Linked DNA regions of Neurospora crassa OR74A. The protein of the gene in region 1 binds, or shares a complex with, the protein of each later gene. Links are inferred from orthologs where the notes say so. Each region holds a gene or a part of one and is shown in the gene's direction. Other genes may lie near its edges. The genes, in order: NCU08299, NCU17114 and NCU04068.

What was found.
Region 2: NCU08299 (region 1) and NCU17114 share a complex: the UniProt entries of both Saccharomyces cerevisiae proteins name them as parts of the mitochondrial large ribosomal subunit. The link is inferred for Neurospora crassa OR74A from reciprocal best matches to the Saccharomyces cerevisiae genes MRPL3 and MRPL39.
Region 3: NCU08299 (region 1) and NCU04068 share a complex: the UniProt entries of both Saccharomyces cerevisiae proteins name them as parts of the mitochondrial large ribosomal subunit. The link is inferred for Neurospora crassa OR74A from reciprocal best matches to the Saccharomyces cerevisiae genes MRPL3 and MRPL6.

The regions. Positions count from the first base shown.
Region 1 is NC_026504.1:2,488,122-2,492,930, forward strand, and holds NCU08299 (mitochondrial 54S ribosomal protein YmL3), read left to right. Parts: upstream 1-1,482; 5' UTR 1,483-1,772; coding exon 1,773-3,092; 3' UTR 3,093-3,871; downstream 3,872-4,809. Other genes in the region: NCU08300 (uncharacterized protein), read right to left, coding at 404-473, 588-770, 879-898, 983-985; NCU08298 (cytosolic phospholipase A2 zeta), read right to left, coding at 4,576-4,809. UniProt on the Saccharomyces cerevisiae protein: Component of the mitochondrial ribosome (mitoribosome), a dedicated translation machinery responsible for the synthesis of mitochondrial genome-encoded proteins, including at least some of the essential transmembrane subunits of the mitochondrial respiratory chain.
Region 2 is NC_026506.1:2,292,136-2,296,638, forward strand, and holds NCU17114 (hypothetical protein), read left to right. Parts: upstream 1-1,759; 5' UTR 1,760-2,048; coding exon 2,049-2,061; intron 2,062-2,192; coding exon 2,193-2,309; intron 2,310-2,732; coding exon 2,733-2,782; 3' UTR 2,783-3,288; downstream 3,289-4,503. Other genes in the region: ala (alanine aminotransferase), read right to left, coding at 560-677; NCU03974 (hypothetical protein), read right to left, coding at 3,598-4,503. UniProt on the Saccharomyces cerevisiae protein: Component of the mitochondrial ribosome (mitoribosome), a dedicated translation machinery responsible for the synthesis of mitochondrial genome-encoded proteins, including at least some of the essential transmembrane subunits of the mitochondrial respiratory chain.
Region 3 is NC_026506.1:2,634,248-2,639,056, forward strand, and holds NCU04068 (mitochondrial 54S ribosomal protein YmL16), read left to right. Parts: upstream 1-1,648; 5' UTR 1,649-1,833; coding exon 1,834-2,119; intron 2,120-2,337; coding exon 2,338-2,451; intron 2,452-2,542; coding exon 2,543-2,910; 3' UTR 2,911-3,061; coding exon of another isoform or gene 3,062-4,348; 3' UTR 4,349-4,455; downstream 4,456-4,809. Other genes in the region: NCU04067 (hypothetical protein), read right to left, coding at 1-37, 96-587, 646-739; NCU04069 (3'-phosphoadenosine 5'-phosphatase), read right to left, coding at 3,062-4,348. UniProt on the Saccharomyces cerevisiae protein: Component of the mitochondrial ribosome (mitoribosome), a dedicated translation machinery responsible for the synthesis of mitochondrial genome-encoded proteins, including at least some of the essential transmembrane subunits of the mitochondrial respiratory chain.

The DNA.
Region 1 (4,809 bases):
CACAGCAGCTTACCTTGTTGCTTGCGTTTACACCAAAACATGCGAAGAACATTGTTAAGGCATGTTCACGATTCAAAGTCATGGAAGGTGGGCTCTTCTCTGTGAGTTCACTAGTATTCGCCAATAGTACGAAACGGTAAGAATAGAGGTAGTTTCCTCTATAATCCATTACAGAACTGATCCACATCAAAGTTAGCTTTATTCACGACGTAGCCAGGCTCTGGAGCACCAACGCAAGACGGCCAGCGGAGGGTAACCGACGTTGAATGTATTCCGAATATTGCATTACTACCACCAACCGGCCGGCCTCAACCAAGCCAAGATGTCCTGTTATTCCATCAAGCCTTTGGAAGCCATGTACTGTATGACCAAACGGCCGGGGTGGCAGGGCCTATGCCCAAATTTACTTTTTCTCCTGTGTCGTCCCGTTCTCCTTTTGCGCCCGCTCATACTCGATAATCTGTCTGCTCCAGCTAGTGGAGGTAATATCGGTTGCGTCAGCTTAAGAACATCCCCGCGGTCTGCGCTCGCGGAAAACGTTACGCATGTATAAAAATTTGGATGGGGGTCTGTCTGCCAGGACATACTATCTGCTGGGATAAAAGCGACCAGGCTCGGGCATCTTGTGACGGTACTCTTTCTCGGCGCTAAGCTTCCAGACTGCGGCAGTGATGAGGAAGACGACGCCACCGAGAACAGCCGTGTTCTTCTTCCAGTTGGCCGGCTGGGCGTACCAACCACCCGAAGGCGACCAGACGTGTTTGGGGTAGCTGGAGTGAAGGGCGAGGCAACGATTAGGACGGATCCATGACACAACGCAGGCTGGGTTGGACAGAATGCGCGGAGGGTTTGCGCATGTCGAGGGCGATGAAACTCACGGAACTTGGGGACCGCCGCCCTATAGACAGGAAAAATAGAGAGTTAGCAGACACAAAACATAGTAGTGATGATGGCTATTCTAAGCAATCGGGTGGATACGCACCATTGTGATGAAGTTTTGGGATATGTGGTGAGGTAGGTTGGACGTTCAACGAGGAATGATTCTTTCCACCTCGCAGTTAAGCAAGATCGGTTTGTACTGTCAACTTTGCGATGCACTGCGAACGACGGCACAATAGTGGTGATGCTTCAGCGGGAACAATTGGATAGAAGGACGAATGATGAATCCGCCTACAGGCTGACGAGGGGCTAAATCGCATCAACCATCCAGGCCTGAAAGTCACCATGTCACTCGTCCTAACTGGGGCCGAGGGCGCATGCGACAGACGGGCGGCGGGCGGCGGGCGGGCAGCTCCCGCTTGTCCACCACAGTGCACCGTATGCTAAACAGACAGCGCAGATAGTGGATTGGGGTCGAAGATGGATCTTGTGGGGACCCTCACTGGGCCAACAACGAATCATGTCAGCCGGCTTTTATGTCTCGGTCTTGGGGGAGTAACCCCTGCGCTTGAGCACTGATTCACGGCTCTGGGTGGTGGGCTTGTCTAGTGTACGGGTGGTGAGCGTTCAGATTGGAGAACTTTTTTTTTCTACCCGTGTTCGACGGCCGGCCGAGTCTGAACGAGAACCCATCCGATCAACGCGCGACTCCGACCGGGATCCCGAGTAGCTTCCCACCCCGCGACCACCGGCTCACCACCTGCCCGTCCGATTTCCCTCACTCCATCCTTTTCTTGGCAGGGCCTCCAGACGGCGCACACTTACGGAACCTGGGCCCCAGCACGTCAACACCCGGTTGTCGAGCCGACCATCACCCATCAAATATATCGCCCATGAAGAGGATAGCAACGCCCAGCTTGACGAGCCGGCTGCTCGTCGCCGCTCGCTCCGGAGTGTCGCCCGCCACTGCCGCCATCCGATCCCGATCTGCAATCTCGGTGCGATCGCAATCGACAGCTGCCCTCGCTCAGCACGATGCATCCCACGATCTCAACAATGATCGGTTCCCCCCGCTTGAGCCCCTCCCCCCCGCGGCCGAGTCCCTACCGTCGCCCCTCCCCGAACGGGCCTTGACCTCGGCCAAACTGGCCGCCCTCCACGCCCGTTTGAATCTTTCTCCCAAGATCCCCTTACAGACATTGGCAAGGACACTGGTCGACGCCTCGGCCGACGAGAACCCGCAGTTCAACAACGCCAACCTCGCCTTCGTTGGCCAGACCCTCATCAACTACCATATTGCCGAATGGCTCCTCTGCAAATACCCCCGTCTACCCCAGGGAATTCTCTTCAGTGCCATGAAGGCTTATGCCGGACCGAAGCCCTTGCTCCAGATTGCGCGGTCATGGGGTGTTGATACCGCCGCGGTGCCCGGCGGCGAGGTGGATCCCGGTCTTCTGCAGTTCGATGCCCTTAAGCCCGGCGTCGCCATCACAAATTTCGGCTACAAGCGTACAGAGCTCGCCTACCTCGAGAAGTTCAAGTGGCGTCGCGGTATGGCCTCGCGTGTCGTTCTCGACGACGACTTTGGTGATGTCGTGCGCAGCGACCCCAAGGTTGCCGCCGATCTGGAGAAGGCGATGGAAGAGCAGGATCAGGACAAGACTCCCGACGAGGAGGAGGCCGAGATGGTCGCTAATGAGCAGGACCAGGACGTGAGCTACGACCGCTACGGCAACCCCGACACCCGGGCCGCTGCTGAGCGGGCCCACGCCTACTTTGTGCGCGCCGTCGTCGGTGCCATCTACGCCCACTGCGGCCGCGAGGCCGCCAAGGCCTTTGTCAAGGCGCACATCATGTCGCGCACCCTCGACATTGCCAAGCTCTTCGAATTCAAGTACCCCACCCGCGAGCTCGCCGCGCTCTGCGCCCGTGAGGATTTCGAGCCCCCCGTGGCTCGTCTCCTCTCCGAGACGGGTCGCCAGTCGCGCACCCCCGTTTTTGTTGTCGGTATATACAGCGGCAGCGACAAGCTCGGCGAGGGCGCCGCCTCCTCTCTCGACCACGCCCGCTTCAAGGCCGCCATGAACGCCCTGAAGGCTTGGTATCTCTACAGCCCTGGCGAGAACCCTCGGGTACCCAGTGATATGCTGGAGGAGGGTGCCAAGCCCTGGACGCCAGCATACATTGATATGGGTGAGGTTATCTCCCGCTAAATGAGGAGGCTGAAACACGGAGCATGGCGGCGGACAGTACGGCAGGGCAGTAGAGAACTTAGGAAGTGTATGAAACGAAAGGTAAAAAGAGAGTCGCAGATGGCCTGCTTACACTCTCGGTTTTATTGGTTGTGCGGCCCATCAACTCGGGATAGGTTCCCCTTGTGGAAATCGACGCAAGAGGATCGAGAGGGAAACAAAACAACGAGTGGATTTTGTTGGTGTGGTCTAAAAGCTCAGCTTACCTTTCCACTCTTGTCCTGTCCTGTTGAGAGCGGGCAATTTCCGTCCTGCGAAGGAAGGGGATATTAAATGGATGGTCCTCTCCCATCCAGTCACTCCCTTTCCTTCCATTGTTTCTTGCTCTTTTTGCCAAAGACGAGATGTTGTATACAGATTTGCGCGCAACGGACATACATGTACACACACGCACACCCCCGCCACATATACCAATACAAAGGGGGGTTGGGACGGAACGGGGAATGAAGAGGGTCTGGATGGTGGCTGCTTGGCTCTGCTTTCGACAAAGAGAGACACAACCCTCGTCGGGGTGGCATCTGTGTCCTTCTTTCTCAGTGTATAATACCAAAAAAGTAGCCGAGGCCAGGGAGAAGGAAGATCATCGTCTGTATGTGTAGCATTAAGAAGTCAAATTTTTTACGAGGCATCAACGAAGTACATGACATGATAAATCCTTCCTCTACGTATTGACTGCTCTGGCATGAGGAGAAGGCTGTGTAAGAGAGAATATGGTACTACGCAATTTACACGCATTGTACAATTCCAGGATGTGTAAGCCCTTGTTTTGTATAACAAGCATCGTAAAGGAAGAAATGGGAATACGCAACCGGCAAGAGTAAAAGACCGGACGACGAGATCGAGCCTGGAAGTTCCTCCCAAGCTTGCGCGCCTTCCATTCATCCAAACTAGAGGTTGTTTAGTATCTATTTTGCCTTGTGCTTTCTTCACATTGCTCTTGTTTATCTTATACGTGAGAGGAAGATGAAGTTGGTGAGAGGGGAGATGAAATGTGGACTGTTCTCTCTGTAGTTGCGTCCTCACTTTCTCACCCCCTCCTGGTACTTTGTCACGACGTTTCCAAAAACACGTTCATCAGAACTTGCGACCTGATGCAAAGGGATCAATGAAGGAGACTTTGACAACTATAGAATTGGCATATTGTTAAGGTACAGTGGTCTAAGATAATAGGGTGCACCAAGGAGAACATGGAGTGCGCGTAGGTTTTCTCCTACTGGTTAAAAAAACACACATTAAGTTTCTGTTACTCATCTCTTAATCTCTTCGGCATTGTCTATCCTCTTCATCCTCATTTTGGGGTATAACCATCCGTCATCTCATTCATCGTCATCCATCTCATGAGTCATAACCCATTCCTACCATCTCCATCACCAAAGAGTAACCCACAGAGAATCACTCGCCTCCCAAATCAACAAAAAGAAGAGACACAACGCGCTCGCTCAGCTCAACTGAAGTGATCACCCTCGCCCAACTTACCGTCGATCCCTAGCCTAACCTTCCTCCTCTGCCTCTCCTCCGCCATCCTCTTCTCCCTCTCCAGTCTACTATTCTTCTTGCGTTCATACACCGCCCTTACCGTCGCCCGAATCTTCTCTTTGCCCTCGTCATAGTTCGCCCTCGCGAGTGCGACAACCTGATCAACTTGTTCCGGTGTGTACACAAAGTTCCACGTGCTCAT
Region 2 (4,503 bases), on another chromosome or scaffold:
CTGCCATGCAACGGGACGAGGCAACCGCAACATTGCCAAATTGCATTGCTTCAGAGCAGGCATCGACATCAAGTAGATAGAGGTAGGTAGATAGGGACTATGCACGCACTGCATGCCACGAGGCTCTCGGGAGTTGAAGATTTTGGCTGCAACTCTCTGTGTGTGGTGTGTGGTTGTGTTCGCGTGGCTTTGCCGAGATCGGGGATGGTGATTCCCGTTGTGGGGAGGAAGGGGAGACAGGGAAATGGGCAGGTGGCGGTCTGGGGATGGAGTCTCAGGATGTAACTTGGATCATGAACTCGAAGCGACAGCAAACACCTGACATTGGGGAATGGGAAAGTGAAGGCAGATGGACAGCTGCGGTTTAAGCAGGTGCCAAGACCGTTGCAACGGAGAGAGTTGCAAACGCGGGGAAAGAAAGTTGGGGAAGTTCGGGACAAGAGGAAGCAACGGTACGTTCGGGAAGGTGAAAGCGACGCAATAAAGCACATCGATCCGCGTCGGTCGGACGAGAAACTCGCGCCGCTTTGGCGAATGGCAAGGGTTTGGTGATCCTTACCTCCGCATGTCGCCGGACCCCACGCCGACTGCTGAACAGGGATTGAATAATTTCTCACGGCCGCGCTCGGCAGCCGGTGACGGGCGGTCTTGAGGGCGTTTGACAGTCCGGCAGCCATCGATGCGATTGTCGATCTCTTTCTGATGAAGTGTACGTATTGATGGATGAGGGGAGGAGGGTCTCGATACTGCCGGGTGGGGGGGGACAGGACTCCCGGAGATGCCGTCAAAGGTGAACGGGAGAAGAACTTGTCGTTGATGGTGCGCTGACTCGCTCCGAGAGTACCGAGAGGACGGGATGTGATTTAGGGCTGAGTCCAGTTTATGTCAGTTGGGTTGGGTTTTCAAACCGCATTCGACACAGCAGACGCAAAGACACTATGAATGGGGGGGGGGGGGGGGGGGGGGAAAGATAGCACGCAGAAGAACACACGAACTTTTTTTTTTTTTTCTTTTTTTCATCAAATGTAGCAACCCAAACTGAACTAATGAGCTCCGAAACAGGAGCACGGAAAGCGGTGTGGTCTAGAACTTTTTGTTACAAAAGAGTCTTCGTTCCGGTCCGGTTTTGCTCCCGCGATCCATTTCTGGCGGGGTCGCAGAGGTCCGAATCGAGACTACAGTCTTGGTACAGTATGGAGAGTCAATCAAACAAATGCCATATTCTGATTCGGACTGCTATCCGCCAGACGAGGCGGTATCGCTGAGCTGTTTCGTAGCCGCCAAGATAAGCTGCTGCTGTGCTGTGCTGCCTGACAAGCCAACGTTAAATCCGGGCCGTTGTATTCTACCTCTAGAGGTAGCTGCGGCATGTGTAGGACCAGTGGACTATATCTAGTATCCAGGAACTATCCTTTTCGTCGACTTACACAGTTCCCTTCCAGCGCCTTGTTGGCGGGACGGGCATGATTACAGCCACAGTGCTGTCAACGGTCACCATGTTGAAATTACGGTACACAAATATCAAATTTATGTTCTTGAATACATCTCTCTCAGTGTACAAGCCCAGCAAAGGTGTTGATGTTGTCAATAAATTTGTGTGAGATGTTCTGATAGATATCACGCCCGTTGTGTTTTGGCCAAGGCCTCTGGGGTTCCTCGGTGAGCTCTCAGCTCACTACACTCAGCTTGTTCCTCACCTTGCCTTCACCGATCCTACAAGTACACTAAACCGCGGGCAGCCACCTGCCAAGCCCAGCTAGGAGCGCACACGACCCACCCACAGCCCCACCACGGCCCACGCACCCCCGGCGGGCCGGCAGGCAAAATCTACAATCGCAATCGCAAGAAGCGCGGACGACCCGACGTCGATTGGAGAGCTTCCGGCGCAAAGACCGTGCTCCGTGAATCCGCCCGCCCTCCGCCCGCAGTTTGCGAACCTCTCCGTCCGGACGAGCCCCAGCCCGTCGCCCGTCGCCGTACCGCACTTGATCCAGTCCAGTCCAGGCGCGCCGTTGCACACCACAACAGCGCAACAAAAGTCGTTCAACATGGCGAAGAAGGGTAATCGACTCCATCCTCACCCGTGTGTCTGCAATTACTGCTTTGTTTTCCTAAAGGGAAAAGCGATGCAATGGGGAAACCGGAAACCGAAAACAGAAGACGATAGTTGCTGATAGGTAAACAACAAACAGCCAAGTCCCGCATCATTAACGTGCGCCTGATCTCAATGGCCATGACGGGTTATTTCTACACCTTCACCCGTCCCCGTACCTCGCTGCCTATGAGCATGCTGAAATACGATCCGATCGGTATGCGCATATCCTCTCCCCTCATTCCTATCTACCTCTTTCGCTTCCAACCACCTACATGATTGATTCGGCGGACACGACGACACGGGCATGATATGGAACTCTTTTTGGTTGCGGGCTTTCTCGATTTGCACGATTCGAAACACCCCAATACGCTTCGTCGAACGGACCTTGGGAAGCTCGCTTGGGACTGGGACTAGGACTGGGATCAGGCTGGGACGCAACAGTTCAAAGACTCGGACGATGGCATAACGTACGGACCTTCGAGAAAAGAAAAAAAAAAAAGCAACCAGCCAACCAACCGGCCAACAGAGAAGAGAGGAGGGGACGGAAGAAACACTTGCCTACGACAGACAATTTTTCCCAATCACGGATCTCGAAGAGGAAGGAATACCTACTAACCCTTTCGCCTCTCCACCATAGTTCGCCGCAAGGTCCTCTTCCTCGAACAGAAACGCAAGGGCAGGTCATAGATCGTTACTCGCCCCCGGGCCTAACGACCGTCGAACGACCGAGAGCCAGAGCGAGAACGCGGAGCCTGCGATACGGAATCAAAGAGCGTAGCGGCGAAGCAGCGACAAGTAAAAAGCTACAGCACCCCCTCCACGGATTACCACGTCACACCAAGTTACGATTTCGACCGGGTTGTGTTTCAAGCAGATCACCAGCAGACAATGGCCAGTGCTGGCGAGTGAGTTGGAGCTGGAGCTGGAGAGGGGGGTGGACCGGACCGGAACTGGACTGGATATATGGAGAAGAGAGGCGCAAGAATAAGATGGGGTCCCTCGTTCCATCCAGTCTCTGGTCGTGTATTATTACTGTACCACCGATCCATCAGTATATAACATCACCCTGTGAGTTATGGATTGGCACCATGGAGCGTTTGTTGCTTCTTCGCTCTACCGATGGGCCAGGTTGATTAGAGAATGTACAAGTCAAGAGATAAGCACAACGCCCCTCGGCCGTCGGCAATGCTGGGCGTGACCCAGGTTCACTGCCAAGTGGCTCTCCCTTCTCTTGTGTTGTGTGGTAAGGATAACTCTTCTATCGCGATCAGACAGTCTGTCATGACACCTCGACATCTTTGACTTTTCTTGCCATCGTACATCGCTTTATCTCATCTTTCTATATTTTCGTGGAAATCAAACTTTTCATTAGTCACAAGACCCGTCTCCCAACATTTTACAGGCGTTCTTTCACACTCTTCTCGTCGTATACATATTGAATCTCAATTCATTCGAAACACAGTCTCCAATCCACACAAATACGCCATGCATCGACATATGGATCATAACTTATTCCCAGGCGGAGGCAGAGGCAAGTCATCTCCGTCTTCTTTGTTTGCATTCTGCGAGAGGGTCATGGAGTCTTGGGTCTCATCATTGGCGCCCCCGTATCGCGAAAGTGGCTGGGACTGAGACCGTGATTGGGACTCGCCGTTCGTTTGACTGACCGAGTTGGTGTTTTCCGCAGGATCAACGGACCTTCTACTGCCATAAGTTCGAGTCGGTGCTGATCTGGGTGGCAAAAACCTGTTGGCACCGTTCATGACCTCGGGTAGGAGGCCAAATGAAGGCTTGAAGTTGATGGAAATCAATCCGTTTTCAGAAGGCTCAGAGCCTTCGCTCAACTTATCCAGGGCGTGACGGCTTCGGTAAATCCGTTGTGGTCGTACTATTCCGCGAGTTCCACGTTCATCTGAGCCGTTAGGAAGCGATGCTGAAGCTGGGGTAGAAGTAATGTCTTTGGTCGTACCCTTTCCCCCGGCCCCTTTCGAGTATCTCCCGCGCCGAAGAACTACAGGAGAATCCACGATATCATCAGGTTGTTTCCGCTTGTTAGGTCTTCCTGAAGCAGAGGCATCTGAAAAGTGGCCGGACGTAACTTCATGAGACACGGGATTTGGCTCCAAAAAAGCACCCGCACTTTCAGGGGGAGTTGCTGTGAAGGTTTCAAGTGGTCCGATTCTCCCAAACGCACCACTCCCCGAAGAATTGTCTATCAATTGTTCCCGAGATGCACTACGCGTCATTCTCTTCATGATCGATTTAGGAGGTGCAGCCTCTCTCCTCCTTGACTTTTCCTGGGCAACAGAGGGCGGTGGAGGCAAACGGACTTTGCGTATACCTTCCGTAGATGTTGGCCGTCGCACAGCAACCCTCCGTTCTTGATCCTGAAGGCTCATGACCACGCG
Region 3 (4,809 bases), on another chromosome or scaffold:
ACATTCGTGAGTCGTTGATAGAGGAGAATGTTTTGTGCTGTAAATCACTGTCAGCTACGACTCTGAAACGGTGCGTCTCAACCTAGATACCATACCTTTCTCATTATCCGCTCTGGCCGCCTCACAGAACCGCAAGGCCTTGTGCCGATAACTAATCCACGTATTCCACGCAGCATCTGACGACTTCATGGCTGACAGGCAGTGATCGATTTCATGACTGCTGACGTGGAGTTGTGCTTGGTCCCGGATCGCAATCTGACTCAGGGCCGGTTCACGGAACTTGGCACATTGCGCCGGGATATTGAACCTGCCTCGCTCCAAATCACATATCGCTAGACTGGCAGCGTAGGAATCAACAAAGTCGCGAACTTGCCGACCAGTGTCTGTGAGGATTGTGGCGTCGTTCTTTCCGTCTACCAGCTGGCAGTTGTTGACTAGGAGTCGGGCGGCCACACGATGGCAAAACGGTTCTGATTCGAGTTCTTGAAGTTCACTTAGGGCGACGGCGTAGATATTTGGTAGGCGTGAGGACGCTCGAAGCAGATCCGAAGGCTGGATGTTGCGGTCGATGTTGACTTGATGGTCGGCTGTGTTGCGGTCATATTATTAGTCAAGCCCTGCAGGCAGTGCTCTGATATTACTTACGAACTGCCACTTTTCTTTCACCTCCCCACGAAAAGGCCAGAGAAGGTGTAGCTGTAACGGCACAGAGAGCCGTGAAGAGAAGCTTCCTGGCCATAGTTGTCATGTAAGTGCAATGCGACAGGCTGATGATGATATACTGATAAAGTCAGATGCGTCCAGAAGAGTGCCGTCGAAGGGACTTCGGCAGTAAGAAATGGAGATTCTGGCAATATTGGTAGTGCAATTTTGGCGATCGAAGTTTGTGGCCATGCAACTGAAAATTCTGTGGTGTTTTTGAAGAGAAGGAGCGATTCAAGAGAGGGAAGGAAGGAAGGTGTATGAGGGTAAGTTGGCGATCGCGACTGCCCAGGATAAGAGAAGCGGACTTGAATTTAGCGGGACAAGAATCACAGGATTGTGAAACCGCGAAAAGGTTTCGTGTGAAATGACTTCACTTGAAGTTCGCATCGAATATGACTGTGATTGTCTGCCGAGCTCGACTTTTGCTGGTTCTTAATCGTCTGATGTGACGCTGTCCTCTCCAACAGAAGCGAGCCTAGACAAAGATTTGGGCTGTAGACCACTTGTCTTGACATCACTGGAATCTGCATCTTTTCATCCGGTATCGAGAAAGTGCAAACAGCTCGCTTGAGACAGTTTGGAAGACTTCGACCGTGACGGGTGTTCTGGGTGGTGATGACTATCGTGAGGTTGGCATCCGTAAAGTCGTCATCGGAAAGCTGGACGATTGTCGAACGGGAGATTAATTCAACATTCAATCTGAATATTGTGAAACAATATGTTCCATCGAGTAAACTCTACACTTCCACGCCCTGTGCCATTTTCTTTTTGAAGATTTCTTACTCGAGATGAATGATGTCGGATGGAATAACATCTGTTGGTGTTCGTCGTTGTTTCTTAGCCCAAGCGAATAGCAGCAGCGAGACTATGCGGATACGACCCTAACCCTGTTGTATTTACAGCCAATCACTAGCTGCATTGCTGTGCCGCGTCAGGTCCGATACATTTTTTGGAGCTCTCCGAAGATCCACTCGGTTCATCCCACCACCCGGCCGGCTTGCCATTGACTCGGTGCTGCCCTTGCGACTGCCAGAACCTCCGAACTGGAGCGCCGCGTCTCTTCGCCAATTCCGGTTCCGCATCGTGACGACGGCCACCACCCTGCCGACGACGACGACACTCACCACGATGTTCGCCCCAAGCCGAAGGAGGGTCCTTGAGGCCGTTGCCTCTTCCTCATCTTCTCCCGTCGTCACACTCCCCGGCTTCCTGGTGCCCGCCTTCCAACAGACTGCCGGTGCCGCCGCCCGGCGCAACTTTTCCGCGACGACAACCCGCCCGTCCAAGCTCGGCCGCACCCCGCTCAGTATCCCTCCTGGCGTCGAGATCACCATTGGCGAGCCCTTCGTCAAGCGCGACATGACGCAGTGGAAGCAGCAGCCTAAGCGCAAGATTACGGTGCAGGGCCCGTTGGGTTAGTTTGTTCTATTGTAAAATCGACTTGGCAAAAGGACCAGATGGGTGTTTTATTTGAGGATACGCAACGAAACTGGAGCGGGCGCAACAGATGGGCTGGGAGAGGCCCGAGAGAGAACGTTGTTTATGGGTGTTTGCGCGAGAGTGCAAAGGGGACTAGGATGGGAGCAGAGCAGCTGGCTGACTTGTTGCACGTGTGCGTGTGCTTTTTCACAGGACAACTCGAGATGGACATTCCCGACTTCATCAAGATCGACCACGACGCCGAGGCAAGGAGAGCGACCCTCAGCGTAGCGAACCGGGACGAGAAGGAGCAGAGAGAGATGTGGGGTATGGCAAACACCTTCCTTGTCTTGGAGAATGTGGAAAGTTACGGGCGGCCAGTCAGCTGACGATTTCGAATCTTTCTTGGACAAAACAGGAACAACATGGGCGTACCTCAACCGCTTCATTATGGGTGTATCAGAAGGTCACACGGCCGTGTTGCGTTTGGTCGGTATCGGTTACAGAGCTACAATCGACACCCGCCCCGAGAAGGAGGAATACCCCGGCCAGCAGTTCGTCTGCCTCAAGCTCGGTTTCTCCCACCCCGTCGAGATGGGCGTTCCCAAGGGCATGAAGGCCAGCACGCCGCAGCCGACAAGAATCCTGCTTGAGGGCATCAACAGAGAGCAGGTCATGACCTTCGCCGCTGATATCAGGAGGTGGCGTGTACCGGAACCCTACAAGGGTAAGGGTATCTTTGTCAACGGCGAGACCATCAAGTTGAAGCAGAAGAAGATCAAATAGAGGACGCGCGGTGGGTTTTGGTGGCTGATATGGTTGTTGATGAGGATAAGGGGGGAATATTGTACATTTAGTCTATTATTTTTTTTGGCACACACATGGCCTCATAACGGCCCGATACCTGCCATAACCTGTACACTATGACACCGAGGCTTTACTGCTGCCCGAGAACTTCCTGAACGACCTTGATGACCTGGTCGTGGACCGCAGCAGGCGCCGCAATGACACCCTTGTTTTCAGCCAACGTGCGGCCGACGCTGAAATCCAGGCGGTTTCCACTCACGTCGGTAACCTGACCACCAGCCTCACGCACAATCAGATCTCCAGCAGCGTGATCCCAGATCTTCTCCTGGTAAGACTTGGAAGTAGGCAGACGGAGGTAGATATCACCCGCGCCGCGAGCAATAGAGCCGTACTTGGCCTGGGAATCCATGCGCACACTAGGCTTGGTGATCCCGAGCTTCTGCGCAATCTGTCCAGCCACGCCCTGATCCGAGTGACCCGCCTCCACGCTCTCGCAGAAGCTGGCGTTGGACATCTCTGTAATAGGCTTCATCGCAATGGACTTGCCCTCCGCAAGACCGGCGGTGCCCAGGGGTCTGCTAGTCGCGCCTTGGCCCTGAACGGCCGAGAAGATGACACCCCGGCCCTCATCGGTCGCATTGGTGCCGATATCCGCAGCCAACGGCGCAGCGTCGTCCACAGGCAGGTTCGGGCAACCGAGAACACCGACCTTGACGTCACCGTCCACCATCAGTCCCAAGCACACGGCATACTGTCCACCGCGCAGGAAGCCCTTGGTGCCGTCGATGGGGTCGATAGTCCATATCCTGCCCTTGGCGCCGCCCTTGCTGTTGCCCTGGTCGATGATCTCCAGCATCGCGTCGGCATCCTTGATGGCGCCGCCAAGGAGTTGCTCGGCAGCCTCATCGTCAAGCTTGGTGGACTTGACGAGCTCCCAGATCTGGTCCCGCAGGGGGGTGTCCTCGCGCAGCTGAGCGGCCTCCTCCTCAGCCACAATCTCGTCCGAAGGAAAGTTGGCCTTGAGGGCGCTGATGATGAGCGCCTGAGCGCCAAAGTCGCCAATGGTCACAGGGGACTTGTCGTCCTTGGAAACGGTGCCCTTGGCCTTCTCGTGGAAGACGCGCTTGGTGAGGCGGGCGGCCCGCTGGACGGCGAGCTGAGCTACCTCGAGCTCCTTTGCGTACTGGGAAGAGGCCATCTTCTGTGTAGATGTAGTTGTAATGGTTGAGCGGCTGGTTGCTGTGATTGTGTTGGCACTGCCAGTCAAATGGCTCGCAATGAGGGAAAGCCGGGGAAAGGAGATGCGGGAACTGAAGATAGCCAGGATGAGGACGATGAGGGAGAAAACGAAGAGAATTTTGGAGTAGAAAGTATGGGACGATGCCTTTTTCTGCTGTTTGATCTTATCCACAGTCATACAGCCGCGAGAGGATCGATAAACCTCGGGGAATTTTCAATCCGTAACCGGAATACGTATTCAGTCCAAGTTGTTGAGTGGTTGAACTTGGGATTCTGGCTGTCAAATGTTCCCCGCACTGATTCTGTAGCGGCGAAGCTGTTGACGTATGACTGCCCTTTTTGTCTTTTTTCCCACTTCAATTGGTTCCCCGCAATGCCACCAACCGCTCGCTATCTCCACAAATGCAGACATGAGAGTCTCAAAATCTTTGTTTACTTTGATGAAATGCTTTACCTATTTCTTGATGTTTCTTTTTCGATTTGGCACTCCACTCTTGAGAGAATGCCCGTCAAAACAGCAATGATGACACGGCTCGGTTCAGGGTCCTTTCCATGTTAAACATGAGCACCCACGGATAAGCTAGGTAGCTAGCCCCGAACTCGGAGAGAGCTTCTCTTTCGACTCCAATATTCATCACA